Tamandua tetradactyla: one gene and its partner. The protein of the gene in region 2 interacts with the protein of the main gene of each other region in a pairwise test. Links are inferred from orthologs where the notes say so. Each region holds a gene or a part of one and is shown on either strand. Other genes may lie near its edges.

The links.
Region 1: the proteins of TRAF3IP1 (region 2) and SFR1 interact in a two-hybrid assay, tested with the Homo sapiens proteins (2 studies listed by BioGRID and IntAct). The link is inferred for Tamandua tetradactyla from reciprocal best matches to the Homo sapiens genes TRAF3IP1 and SFR1.

Annotation. Positions count from the first base shown.
Region 1 is NC_135339.1:66,210,160-66,218,053, reverse strand, and holds the start of SFR1 (swi5-dependent recombination DNA repair protein 1 homolog), read right to left. Parts: upstream 3,005-7,894; 5' UTR 2,710-3,004; coding exon 2,686-2,709; intron 2,026-2,685; coding exon 1,909-2,025; intron 1,321-1,908; coding exon 910-1,320; intron 1-909. UniProt on the Homo sapiens protein: Component of the SWI5-SFR1 complex, a complex required for double-strand break repair via homologous recombination. Acts as a transcriptional modulator for ESR1.
Region 2 is NC_135329.1:214,818,560-214,825,964, forward strand, and holds the start of TRAF3IP1 (TRAF3-interacting protein 1), read right to left. Parts: upstream 3,006-7,405; 5' UTR 2,956-3,005; coding exon 2,833-2,955; intron 1-2,832.

The DNA of each region.
Region 1 (7,894 bases), on a different chromosome or scaffold from region 2:
AAATGAATGGGCCTTCTACCCAGAGAAAAATAAGAATGGTTACAAAGCCACTCAACTTGAATTCTGTGGTTATTGTGTTTGGTCCAAGCGTTGAGCCATCCCTCCCCTCATGGAAAAAAAAATTCATTAAATAGGGTAAAACTTATGTTTTACAACAATATAGGTTAAAAAATCTATTTTCCTAGTACAACTATACTTTAAAATAACACAAAATTCAAATTAAAGATATTTTCAACATTCAAAATCTTATAAAACTCAAGTAGTCATGTTCAGAAAAATCCTAAAAATTCAAAAGAACAAATGGCACATGCTAATCCATCATTTACTCCACATTGCTAGTGGAGAATGAGCTATTGCATGTATATGAATTATCCAGGTAAGTCATAATCCAAGTGCCCAAATTCGATTTTATTCAACCTATCTGGATTTAAATATAAAATTTAATACATATTTGTTGTATTTTCAAACAGAATGCCTGGAACATTTTAATTATTTGGGGGGGGTAACACAATATCACTACTAAAGATAATTTTTATTATATTCTCTGGCCCACTTTCAGCTTTTTTACTTATTCACTGTCAGCTGTCCCTTCTGTTCCCATTGTACTTGCATCTACCATTTGATATTTCTAATATTGCTCAAGGCTGGAAACTAGAGAGAAAAGCTCCAATTGTACATTAAATGAGAATCAAGTGAGTAGCTTTAGGTGAGACTTTCCAATGTTCTATTAGGTGTTTAGAGGCCCCTTCTAATTATTTTTGAGTTAAAGTTACTGGAATCCAGATTTCTGGATATGTGGCTTATTGCTTCTTATGCTAAACTAAATTTATTTTCTACTTTAGAAATTACTTTAATGTAATTTCTTAAATAAAAACAAATATTATGTAATAGTTCTGAAATTCTTCTCACCTTTGATCTATACATTTTGACTAGTTTTAGCCTTCGAAGAAGGTCTTCTTTCTCCTCAACCTGCTTCAACAATTTTGTTTTTTCTTCTTTGAATCCTTGTTTAGGGTGATTCTCACTCACAAAATCATTTTGGAGAGCAACGCATGACCCCAAATCAAGTGACTTAGATTCACATGTATTGATATTCTTGAAGGTATTTTTCAAATATGTGCTTTCTTCAAATTCACTGTCTATGTCTTTAAAACTTTCCTGAAATTCCAAACAGTTTTCTTCTGTTGAAGATGCTGGTTTCTTGGAAAAGTTCTGATCATTTTCATCATTCTCTACTTTAAGACGTTTTACCACGCTATAAGAAGAATGAAATGAAGATCTTGTCTTCCTTAATCGTTCTCTAAGTGTTGCACTCATGGGCTAAAAAGGCACAAAACATTAAGGAAAAAAAAACATTATTTATGTAAATAAATCAAGCAATAAAGACCCTACGTTTCTCTGGTAGACACCAATAGATGGCTTCCTGTCTCCATTTGCTTACAGTAACCACCACAAAACTGTTTTAATTCCCAGAAGCTCCGCTAGTTTTACTCTTTTTACTTTAGCTTGATCAATAATACCATTAAGAGTGTTAAGCTTATCCCAGTAACCACAAACATATGTTGAGCTACTAGCATTGTCTAACTACTCTATGTGCATTTCAGAGTTACAAATTAAAGGAAAAACCTAGGTCCTGCCACCAAAGATTTTCATAATGATAACTACTGCACAGATTTAAACTTTCTCTGTTGTAATAAACCAATGAGAAACTAAATGAATTAAGGATGAGAATTTTGAGATCAAATACATTATGTTAGAGAAAAATCTAAAATTATTTAATAGTTAATAAAATACATTTACCTTTTAATGAAACATATTATACTAATAATCTTCAGTAAACTTAAAGCTGCTACCTCCAAAACTTAGAAATATGGAATGGATTTACTGGAAGAATTAATATTCTCTTACTTGTTGCCTTGAACTATTGGTATGGGGAGACTGATCCTCATAGTCCTGTGACATAGTAGATAACGTCACAGCTGAGTCTGATGGACTTTCCATCTTGTAGAAGAAATCCTGGTTTACCTGTAAAAATGAAAAATATCCACAAAACGGAAATCAAATTAATCCATAACTCTATATAATCTGCAATTCTTATCAAAGAAATTTTGATTCTTGTATATAACACCCACAAGTAAGCCAGTAATTTCCTCTAATTTCATTTAGTTGCAATTCATTTCTGCTCTTTTGCAGGGCTGTTTTCCACATGAAAGTGACTACTAGTTTTTTCATGACAGATTAATTGGCTAAGTATCTCATTTAAACAAGTCTCCCTGTTTGTTTTTATCAAAAATATCTCCAACTTCTGTCACATCTTGTCTTCCTTAATCGTTCTCTAAATGTTGCACTCATGGGTTAAATAGGCACAAAACATTAAAAACATTACGAAATAAACATTATTTATGTAAATAAATCTAGCAATAAAGACCCTACGTTTCTTTGGTGGACATATGGGGGAAAAATAACTTTGGATAGTCAGGAATTCTTCAATTTAGTATGACAGCTTCATAATGAAAGGAAACACGGCCGAAATCTCGACCCCCAAATCAATCAGACCTGCCACACCACCCCTGAGAGGGGGATCAACGACCCCCCAGGGCTGAGGCAAATGGGACATAAGCAGAGGGAAATTTACACGTCTGCATCATTTTACTGTAACTAAACCCTGAAAATGAGTCGACTGACATTTGTTTCCTCAAACAAAGGCATCAACTTTACCAAGATGAACCGAGTGGGCGGTGTCCTTCCCTTCCTGCCCACCCTTGCAGAAATACCAGGCTAGCCCTCGAGAGGCCGGGCCTTGAGGTGGGTTGTGAGGTACCCTGACTGCAGAACCGGGGCTTAACTCGACTCCACAGCAAACCCCGGACTTAGTCCCACTCTCACACAACCACTTGCTGCCCAGGAGGTTACTGCCCTCCACCACTCCCAGAACCCGCAGAACTCGCGAGCCTCCGCGGCGGAAAGCCTCCAGCTGACCAGGAACCGGGTAGACACGTGATTGGCCGGGTTAACCGGCCCGCTCTGCTCCGTTCCGCCCGGCAACCAAAACGGGTCGAAACCACGCGAGATACGGGACAGACGCGTGATTGGCCGGGCTGGCCGGCGCGCGCTAACCTATTCCGCCCGGCAACGAAGAGGGGGCGGGCCACCCGAGAGCCTGGAAGGACACGTGACTGCCGGGTTGGCTGGCGCGCGCTGCTCCGCCCGGCCTCCCAGAGCCGCAACACGACGCGCGCGTTGCTGTGAGCTTCGGTTCGGTGTTCCGGGCAGGGCTGAGGTTCACAAGGCTTAAGTGATTATGAAGAGGGCATGCTTCCTCTTACAGATTCGCTTTCTTTCTCTTATCTTCAGTTGCCTTCCCTCCCCGCCTCCTTCTTTTCTTTGTGAAGTACGCCTGAACGAGTGGTCGTCCCCTGCGCCACCCTTTCCGCTGGCCGCCAGTTGGTCTCTCGCTCACCACAGCAAAGGCTCTTCCTCTTACTTGACGGGACACATAGCCCCCCAGCTGTGTGTTAAATTTACGATGTGTAAACTCTCCAAAGGCAGAGACTTCGAAAGAGCAGCTTTAGGGTTACATGACATAGTGAGAATCCGACATGTTATACATTTATCCAAGAGCCTTAGCGAACTTCCAACTAGTTTCTAACCTATGCTGCTGCAAATTTGGTAGTCTCGCCACCACGTTGTCTAATACTGTATCTACCTGAAAATTTAGACACCTTAGTCTGGCTTCAAATCTTTTAGTCAAATCTGAGGGAAATTTTAATGCAAGGAAATTTGTTGTGGAGCTGTACAAGAAGCAGTCAGTCACTAAATAGGAGGGTATTGATCGAGAATTCGGATGTTTGAGGCACAGAGGTCTTTGCTGAAGCGCTGGCAGCAAATCTTAGTCTCTGATAATCCACTTCCTTTCCTATGTTGCTAGGCAACAATGCAGTTAACTGAATTGGGTAGAGCACTGGATTTAGGGGAAGAGAGAAGAGTAATTTCTGAGTTAAGTGAATGTTGAGAATTTTAAGGGGCCAGTGCTTTGAGTCTTCTATTGAATGACAATTTTGTATCTTTACTAATATCTGAGCTCTTTGGTGCTACTTAAACTTTCTCTTATGTAGGGAGAAATACAGATCCTATGTAAAATTTGTCAAAAATAAGATAAGATTGCTATTTATAGTGTAATTTCCAAAATAATGGCTTAGAGGTAGTCAGAGCTGAGAAGGAAATAACTGAGTCCTAAACTGTGGAGTCCAAATACAGAACCTGAAGACAATCTAATTCAGTGGTTAAGGACTTAAACCTTGGAGTCAAATTGCACAGGTTCAAATACTGACTCCATTATTTTTAAACCTAATAATGTACAGTCTCTGTGTATTGATAGGTTCCTTCATCTTTAAAATGGGGATAATAGTATCTTACTCCTAAGGGATTGGAGGATTAAATGAGAATTCTTGAGAGGCAATTAGAGCAACATTAGACATCGACACATCAATAGTTTCCAATTTATATATGCAGGTATATTCACCATTCCCTACTTGATTCAATTCTTTCATTCCTTCACACTGCCCAAAATAAGGCCACATTATTTTTTAAAGATTCTGTGTTCTGAAAATTCCCTCACAAATTAAACCCTAAATAGCAGAAATCTTGGTGTCTCTCTATATAATCAATAACACAAATTCCACTTCTAAATTTTTCATTAATTATAAAAGTTAACCTGAAGGAATTTACAAAGTCAAAGAAGAGAGCTCATGACTTTGTGATACTGGAGTTATTCACCAGGCGAGACCACAGGTCTCAATCTGTACATTAATTTCTCTTAACTTACCCATTGGCATCAGGTAATCTCACTGCAAAAAGCAAAACGATTTGTCCTGGCACTGGAAGCACAATGCAGACTCTGCATGTTCTATATACCTTGGGGCATAAGGGTGGATTGTTTTTATGATTCCCTAAAGTCAGCTGCTCCCAAATCCTTTTATCATTACAACCTAAGTTTAGAGCTGTGTTTTTGCTGGCTCGTAAAGGAAAATAACATCTTGCCCAGCAAGTGTTCGGACTTGCTTATTTTTAAGTGAATTGGTATATTAAAATGGGATTGTTTGGGCCAGATTTTCAAAGAACTTCACAATAAGTACCTAGAATAACATATATTTCGGAAATGTGCATTCGTTGACCTATATCTCTGACTTCCATGCACTGTTAAAACTGAATGCTCTCTCCTTATATAAATTTGTGTTTACTTACTCCCTTCACGTACCAATGTGGAAACCAACCTTCCCCTCTCAGTTTAGTGTAAGGGATCTGAGATCTGTCCCTGTAGTTTTCTTTGTATCGTTTGATGCATTTCCCTAAAGGGCCCTGAAATCTATTGGTCTATAAAGCAGTTCGGTGTTTCTGACACTGGATATTATATGTTTCATATGAAACTTTTTCAAGAGAGTAAAAAACTGTCCCAGTGAGCTATCCTTACCCTACCAAATAGAGAACAATAGAATTCAAAGATAATAGTAATTAATTTCAAGCTAAATTAGAATGTCTGTGTATGTGTTTTTAAATTTTGATACCCAAGGCTACTGCTGGTCACTTTGTTATTTATAAGGAAGTGGTAAAATGCTTCTTCTGTTCTTGTCTGTGATTATTGTTGGTGGGGTGATGACATAAACCTAAAATCTTTATGAGACTTTTTTTTAACTACTTTTTTAATGGGAAGGAGAGAATAATGAAAAGAATAATGAACACACTCTCTCCCTCCCCCTCTCTCCCTCTCTTTCTACACACATACTCATCTTTTAACCACCATTAAAAAGTTCATAATTAAAACAAAAAAAAAGTTCAGTAGATTTTTTTTTTTTTTTTGCGTGGGCAGGCTCCAGGAATTAAACCCAGGTCTCTGGCATGGCAGGCGAGAATTCTGCCTGCTGAGCCACCATTGCACCACCAAGATTTATTATTTTTTAATTCTTGACTGTAGCTTTATTTTTCAAATCTTAACAGTAACCTCAAGGTGACCTAAATTCCATGCAATTCATTGGCTTTTCTGCATTGAAAAATATTTTGATATCATGCATCTATAGGTATTTTTTAAACAAGGATATGAAAATACACTTAAAAAATTTATTGTGAAAAATAACATATAATGAAAATACACTTTTAAAATTAGAATTAAATCTACTTGGGTGAGGAATTGTGCAAAATCCACATGATTAAGTTGATTTATAATGCGAAGGAGAAATTAAACTTTTTAGATAGATTTCATAGAGTTTTATAACACACAATATAATGTGCTAAATTCTTAACTGGTTTTAATATTTTTTGTGACGTTTGCGTATAAGTTGAAAATCACCTTCAGAAACTCTTCTGTAGGTTCCTCTTGCCATGAGTTCAAGTTACATTTTATCAGACCTACCAAATAAAGAGATGTTTTAGTCTCTGTAATTTCATAAATTTCCCTTTGAGGATAATTGACAATCTATTTCTATTTTCTCTATTACCTAAAAATCTTATATGAAATTCCATGCATAATTGCTTCACTCGTAGACACTGTTGAAGACTCTCAGTGCCTTGTTACCAAAGGGTGGCCTTTGTGGATAATCTATTTAATATTCTTTAGCCAAAATAAGCAAGAGAGGATTTTATTTTCAATCCCAAGATAAAAGAGTCCCTGATTTAGCATGCCTGAGAGATTGTCTTACTGAGTAGGATGGTTACTTAGAACATGGAAATATGATAGGGTCAATACCTTAATGTGATCAAAACCTTTCCATACCAGGCAAATAAAATGTTCAGGATATTACACCAAACAAGAGCCTAAAGAGTTACCCTCATCTGTAATTCCTGGCTTTTATTCCACCAGACCTGGCATTTTGTCAAATCCATTAAAGACTGGAGAAGCAAGAGTGTCTATGATTCACTGCTATTATAGGGTGTGTTCTCTTGGAGAAGAATAGACTGATTCAGGTTAGATTAATAACTGTGAGGGTGGGGGAGCCTGAATGTGGGACGTTATGATAGATGAGTTAGACTGTAGAAAGAAAATGGGAATAAAAGCATTGCTCAGGGCCACATCCTTCCCAGATCCTTTATTTACTCCAATATGTCACCCCTGTATTCATTTGGTAAAAAGAGGAATTAGATGTCAGCATCTCGAGAACTGCTAATTATTATGTAAATGTTTAATTTCAAGCATTATAAACACCATCTTTTGTGATATTTGTATATCTATGCCTTTGTATAAATGTTGGATATTTAAAACTCAACTCCTATGTTGCTGAAGATATGCACAAGCTAAATTAGGATGTCTGTGTATGTGTTTTTAAATTTTGATACCCAAGGCTACTGCTGGTCACTTTGTTATTCATAAGGAAGTGGTAAAATGCTTCTTCTGTTCTTGTCTGCAAAGATGAGCTTCATAGGCTTTAGGAAGCCTGTCCATTTAACAAACTGCAGCCGAGATACCAAAGAACATAGGTTTGGGTTTTGGAAGGCAGTAACTGATCACATTCACATTTGTTAAGCAAATTCCTATGAATCTTTAAGTTATAAACTGCCCATAGGTTTTTAAAAAAGGCAGACATTACTGCAAGTTGGCATTGTCTGAAATGCTTTCCTAGCCTAACTCTGGGCCATTGGAATAGGATATTTTGAATCTGCATGTACAAGTTTAAGATTCTTATAAAGCTGCCAGACCTTTAATAGAATAATTAACATAAAACTTGTGCAGTTAAGGATTCCCAAAGGAATCAGTTTGAACCTTTGGCAAGATGTTCCTTTTTTTAAAAAAAAGCAGTTTTCACAAGTACATATTTTCACTCAGCTGTTTTCCAAAAGGTTTTGAAGAGATATATATATGACTTTGTTTCACTCTGATAATTGTTTTCAGAGATAGCAATTCAAT
Region 2 (7,405 bases):
GGGTGCTGAGCCAGCCAGGAACCAGCCAGATCCCAGCCCGGCCCTCACGGAGCTTAGAGCCTCCCTGCGAGGAAAGGCGGACACTCATCACAAATGCCTGCTCTCCTGAGACGCGGGCTCTGCTTCCCGGGAAGCACACGGGAGCAACGCCAAATCCGAACCAAGGAGAGGGCAGGCAGGTGCCTCGGGGCCCCAAGTCTACACTGAGACCCGAAGGCTTCCACAGGAAGGGAAAAGGCAGGAGGGGCACTTAGGAAGTCTGGACTGGATGAAAGAAAATCCCCGCCAGGTCCAGCCTGTCCAAAGGGTCAACGAAGTTGGCCGGCAGGAGGCTGAGGCCAGGGCCACTGGCTGGGGGCCTAACCAGGATGGCCCTCAGAGCCGGTAGGGAACATGAACTTTAGCCCCAAGGAGTCCTGGAAGGTTCTAAAGCACAAAAGGACCCAAACAGATGGCCTCTTACATGTACAGAACAGCAAAAACAGACTGTATCACATGCAGTGAGGACAAGCATGCCTACATACGCATGCGTCCCAGGTCAGCTATAAACTGCATTCACTACTTTAAGATTTATATACAAAACAAAAAACGACAGTCCCATTCTAATGTCTGGCTCCTTCTCTGCGATCAAGCTACAAATACTAACTTTGCATTGTCATCTATTAATAAAGATACGTTTTCACTTCACACCAAACTACTTCAGAGTAATGTTATTGCTTTTCTTGACAGGCAAGTGGAACTGTTCTGCATTTAATATTTCCAGAATATTTTCATCTGGTCCCTTTTGAAGTTTTCTCAGTTTGCTGATAGTTAAAAGTAGGAGCAATAATTGTGAACTATGAGAGATTGTCATGTCAGAGGATCAACACTTAGCTTTATGAAACAGGGAGAGTGTGTTTAGCTGTAGCTAAAATATTAATACAGTGACTTAAATCCAATATGCAAACAGTGAAGAATTTTCATAGGAGGCTTTTTCAGCTATTATCTGAAAATGCTTTCCAATATGTCAATCATTCTAACTTCTTTATCAAATAGGTGACAACTAAATGGTTATCTTCACATAGGTAGAGAAATTAATTTTGGCATTAGATTAGCAAAAACCTTTAAAAGAAAAAGCAGGGCAGCCACTGCTGATTCGGAACGTATAACCTCTGGCACACGACGTTCCTACGGAACCAAGTCCCTTCCTGCTTGAACTGTCCTCTTCCCTTTCCCATTTGAACCCCTTTCCAGCAAGAGGCTAAGTGCCCTAGAAGCAAGGTAAGTCCGAGGCCTACTCTCTCCACCTCCCTTCTCTGGCCACATTTTGGTGGGGTGGGGGAAGGAGGTCAGGACTAATGCAGAAAATAAAAGTTAAAAGGAGAAGTCCCTACAGAGTGGAGGCCAGCCAGGCTCACGTCCTGACCACTCTGACACCTGCTGACTTCACGGGGTGGTCTCTGTGCTGACCACGAGGGCATAGCAGCCCCCAGCAGGCTCTCCTTGCAGCTTGTGCGTTCCCCAAACACTGTCCAGGATGCACTGGAAGTACTGGCCCAGCCAGGGGGATGAGCAGACCAGGTAAGACCACGCTTGGGATTTGGGGAGGCTCTGAGAGTTTTTCAGCACAAGTAGGATGTTCACCCCCGAGACATCCCAGGGGTGTACACATTATAAGCTAAGGGAGGACGGGTAAAGAAAAATGTATAGAAGGGTAAAGCAACCAGCCTGTTGAAAAGAGTGAGGAAAATTAAGTGTGGGCCGAACATCAGGCCAGATGACGCAGCCCTGGAGGCAACCGATTCCCTTTCCCACAGAACACCCCAAGTCCCTCAGTGCACCATGGAGATGCAGCACCCTCTGCAGACACACTCTGGAGAGCTGCAGGAGCCCCGGCAACTCCATTCTACAAGTGAATGTTGTGGGGCAGCTTCTATGTACCTTACCCAGGGCAGGTCACCCAGACAAACAAATCACAGTCTCTGCCATCCAGGAATTCAAAATCCAGTGGGGGGAAGCTACACAGACACCCAATCTCAACTTAAATCGTCCCGGGCGGACCATCAACAAATACTAACATTCAAGTCCCCCTACAACTTCCTCCAACAGGTGCAGACCAAGCATCCAAAATGTGGTGCCCTCTCTGCAGTGGGCCGCGAAACTAGGCGGAAGAAAAAAGGGAGAGAAACAGAAGGAAGGATTCCGTTCTCCCAGGATTTCCTGGGACCCTTCCACACGCGAGGCCTCGGGGGTAACCGAGGGGAGCACACAGGGCCGCGCCCCGGTTGGAGGGAAAAGTCACAGCAGTGGCTCTGCCGAGCAGAACACCAGGCGCTCCGACGAGACACAGGGGTGGCCTGGAAAGGCCGGGCCTGGGGCGCCCGCGCGCTCCCTGGAGACGGCACAGGAGGGTGGGCGAGACCTGGAGGGCAGGGGCAGGGCCAGGGCCTCCGCGACCAACAGGTCGAGCCCAAGCGCTCGCCCCTCGGGCTGCAGGTCCAGGGCCGCGCACAGCATCGCGAGGCCCGCGCGCCGCCCGCCGCGACCCCGGCCCCGGCCACGACACCGACCCCGGCCCCGACCCCGGTCCCGACCCCGACCCCGGCCTGATCCCGGCCCCGGCCCCGGCCCCGGCCCCGGCCCCGGCCTGATCCCGGCCCCGGCCCCGGCCCCGGCCCCGACCCCGGTCCCGACCCCAGCCCCGGCCTGACCCCGACCCCGACCCCGGGCCCGGCCCCGGCCCCCCGCACGCACCGCAGGCCACATGCCCGCTGGTGCCCGGCCCAGGCCCCGGCCGGACCTCGATCCCCCGCAGCCCGGCCCCGATCCCGGGCCCCAGCCTCCCGCGCCCACCTCGGTGATAATGTCGTGCAGGTAGCGGAAGGGGGGCTTGTTCAGCAGCTTCTCCGTCAGCGGCGGCCGCCGAATCACCTTCCCCAGCGCCTCCTGCGTGCGCCTCACCACCGCCGCGTTCATGGCGGCGCCCCGCGCCCCTCAGCCGGCCCGGTCCGGCCCCCGCCGCGCTGCCCAGCCGCCCCGGCCGGCCGCCGCGGGGTCCCATCCCACAGTGCACCGCCGCACGCCACGGCGCCTGCGCGGAGGACGCCGGGCGTTCTGTCGCTAGGGCAGCGCGGCCTTAGCAACGGACGCGCCGCCCGCCCCGCCCCGCCCCGCCCCCCCAGGAAGGAGGCGGGTCTGGGGCCCCGGGCCGCCGCCCCGTTTCGGCCAGGATGCAGAGCGAGCGCTCCTCGCGTTACCGGGGGCCCGAGCGCTGCGTGACGGCGACCTAGGCGCCAACATTTGGGTTGGCGGTTCCCCAAAGTTCCGAGGCTCTCCTCGGCTTTGATTCTCCGGGGGAGGGGTGGGGGGCGGGCGTGTTATCTCAAAAGACCAGAAATGGGAAACGCCGTTTCCACCTGTTACTGATTATGGCTTTACTGGGCAAGGCCCTTGTGTGCTCTGAGACCCCGTGAATGGTCCTGTAAAATAGGACGACAGCGCACCTGCCCAGCCGACCCCCATCCCAGCCAGGTGAGGCTGTGTCACGGCGTGCACAGTGACACCTCGTGGCCGCCCACCCTGCGGAGCCGAGCTGCTGTGCTCCGGCGGGGTCCGTGGTCGGCCCTGCGGGCCTCGTCTGCCATGCGCAGGCTCACCGCTAAATCCTTCTAGCACCTTGGAAGCGTTATGGTGGTTTCTAGTTCTTCGAATGGATGCCTTAATAACTTTTTATTTACCTTCACTTCTGCCATTTTGAAAGTCCTTCATTCTTTGTGTAGATCCAAACTTCCATCTGGTACACCGCACTCCTGTCTGAGGAACTTCTTATTTTTCTTTCAGCGCAGCTGCTGGCAATGAGTGCTCTCACCGTTTGTCTGGCAAAGTCTTTATTGCACCTTTCCATTTAAAGGACAGTTTCACTGGATGTAGAATTCTGGATAGAAATAATTTTTTGTTTTTTTTTCAGTACTTTGAAGCTGTTGCTCCACTGGCTTCTGGTTTGCATAGTTTCAGACAGGAAATCTGCTGTAATTCTGACTGTATTCTGTCTATGAAGTTACTTTTTTTTCTTTGGCTGCCTTCAAGATATTCTTTTTGCCATTGCGTTTCAGAGGTTTGACTATGATGCATCTAGATGTGTTTTTTAATTTAAATTCTATATTAAGTATTATTTATGTACAATAAAATCCACCCATTTTTAAGTGATACATTTTGTTACCTTCTGGTAATTATATTCAATCAGATAGCCACCACCACAATCAAGGTAGGAAACAGTTCCTGCACCCTAAGAAGTTTCCTCCTGCCCCACCCTGAGCCCCAGGCAACCCTGATGAATTTTTTTTCATTATAATTTTGCCTTTTCTAGAATTTCATATAAATGGAATAAAACAGTGCATAGCTTTTGTGTTTGATTCTTTCTTTTATCATAATGTTTTTAAGACTCACCCATGTTGTTACATGTATCAATATGTCATTCTTTTTTGTAACATATAAATATGCCCTGCATGTATATACCACAATTTGTTTATCCCTTTGCCAGTTGATGGACATTTGGATTGCTTTCACTTTTGATTATGTATGAATAATGCCACTATGAGCATTCACATACAAATCTTTCTGTGGATATAATCCATTTTTCTTTGATAAATATCTAGGAGTCTACTCCTACTACTGGGTTGTATGGTAGAGTAGGTTGAATTGTGTCCCCCAACAAATACATATTCTTAATTTTAATCTTCATTGCTGGGGGCATGAACTCATTGTAAATAGGACCTTTTGAAGATGTTATTTTTGTTAAGGTGTGGCCAGCTGAATCAGGGTGGGACTTAATCCATATTATTGGCCTTATAAAGAGAACCCAGAAGTCATAGAAGCCAGAAAGGAAAGCATATTGTCATGTGGTGGGAGGCAGAGATGCCAGCCATGGAAGCCCAAGGTTTGCCAGCAACTGTAATGCTCCAGACTCCAGAAAAAAGCAAGCCCTGCCAATGTCTTGATTTGGGAAGTCTTTTAGCCTCGGAGCCCTGAGCCAATGAGTGCTTGTTGTTTAAACTAACCCACTGTGTGTTATTTGTCATAGAAAACTGGCAAACTAAGATAATGTGGTGAGAATATGTTTAACTATATACCATACTCTTTTCAAAGTGACTGTGCCATTTTTCATTCCCAGCAGCAATGGCCAGGAGTTCCAGTTCCTCCCCACGCCTGCCAGCAGCTGGCATCATCCGTCTTTTTAACTACAGTCATTGTAGTGGTTCTAGCAGTATTGTATTGTGTTTTAAACATGCATTTCTCTGATGACTAGTGATTTTAAGCATTTTTCACTTGCTTTGTGTCCATTTATATACCTTTGACAAAAATATTCCACAGAGTGTCACCAAGCATCTATTGCATCACGGCTTTGAGCTGACTTCTGTCTAGGTGCCGGGATGTAAAGAGGAACAGCTCTCCTAGTAAGCAATGTCCACTGCTGTCCACTGCCCCTGGGCCCACCCCTCTCTGTGCCACTGATCACATCCTGGACCCGGGCAGGGGTGGGTGAGGGGAGCAGGGCTCACCTCCCCCCAGAGGCATCAACCTTGCTTCTTGTCACCACACAGATGGGCCAGCTGCGTGAGACGTTCCAGAGAGGTTGGGAAACACCCAAGAAGAAGACAAGCCCTCAAGGAGGGAGTTTAACATCTCCCACCGAACCGCCTGGGGTCCACGGGAGAAAGTCCTCCAGGCACTGCACCCTTGGGTGGCTTCCCTCCTGGGTGGCCCTCCATTCTTGCCCCTGCTCCCCACCTCCAGGTCACCCTTGGCCAGGTGCCTCTGTCTGACCCAGCCTTGTTGAATCTTCCCGACATTCAGGAAACACCACCCTCTACCCTGGGGGCTGCCCTCCTCCAGCGTCCATCCCCTTTCCTGCGGCACCACAGTCCTCAGCATCCGTTCTCCAGGGCTCCGCAGGTGGCACCCGGCCCTCTAATGCCCTGGAGCAGGCCAGGCTGCTGGTGGTCGCCGCGAAGGGGGCCCCTCCAGGGCTGCCCAAAGCCCCCTCCTTCTCCTGGTTGTCCACACACCCCGGTAGCTGATACGCATCCCGCTTCCCAGGAATAAACGTTAATTTCCCGACAGTTCTCCCCTTGACCTCACCTCAGGCCTCCCAGAAAGTTTTCGGAACGGGCCGGGCCCCGGGACACTGGCCCTCATCATCCAGGCTCTCTGTGCCCTGCAGTTCCCAAGCGGCTGGGCACGGGGACGCCACAGGCTTCTGGGACCTGGGTGCTTCTCTGCTCTCCCCAGGCCATGGGCAGCAGAGCCGGGCTGTCCCCTCATGTGGTGCTGGTGTGGGGTCCTGGGGTGTGATGCCAAAGGCTGGGGGCTTTCCAGGGCCACGCCCGCCTTGCCCTCAGTGCAGGCTAGCTGCCCGTGGGCAAGCTGGCTGCTGGCCAGGGGCTGCTGCCACCCGGGCCCCGAAGTCGCGTCCACCTGACGTGAGCTCTGAGGGTGGGACTGGGCAGGCCTTGCCTTAGAACAGTGTTCAGGGCCTCCGGGTCAGTAGCCAAGGTCAGCAACCACTGAGTCCCCCTCTGCCCCGGCTCAGGCCGACCCCAGCCGGCATCCGTTGCTTAGGGGATGGCGCACTTGGGACTTGGGCTCCCAGTGTGGCCGCGGCGGGCCGATCAGGGAAGATGTCGCGGCTGGTCCCCTCCACTCCATGAGGACGCTGCGGCCCTCAGGCGCCACAGCTCCCCTGCCTCTGGCGTGGCGCCTCTGAGGGTCTCCCTCTGGCCATCCAGTGAGAAATGACGTCTCCTGCCCGCCTCGAAGACCTGGAGGGCAGAGAGACTATGCCATGTATAAGGCCGTGTGGCCTCCTGGCAGTGGCCCAGCCCCAGTGCACGCGTTGGGGCGTCTGGAGGGGTCCGGGGCATGGCTGCAGGCCCCATGGGGAGCCGGCCTGGAGGATTTGGCCATGGGTGGACACACAACCCAGAGGCCTTGGGGAGCTTGGGTTCTACGCGGGCCTCGCCGGCTACCACGTTCCCTCCGGCCTGGGCACTGCCCCTTGGTGGGCCCGCGGCTCCCCGGGAGGGCCAAGCCCGCGCCCCGGAGAGCGCGTGTGGGAACACGCAGCTGAGGACGCTGGACATCAGGGCCTCTGTGCAGCAGGCGTGGGATGGAGCCTCCTGTTGGGGGGTGCTGGGAGGCAGCGGCTACATGGCCTACATCACCTCCACACTCGCCAAAGAGTCCTGAAAGCGCTGGGGGGAAAGGCAGAGAGCATAAAAAAAACAGAGTCATTCATAAACACAGAGAACCGCCTGAATAACTATAGAAAAATACCACAAAGAAAACGTTTGAAAAATAAAAAGCTGGCAGGGGATGCTTTTGAAATAAGTAGTTTCTGAATGAATGAATGAGCTATCGTGGCCATGAC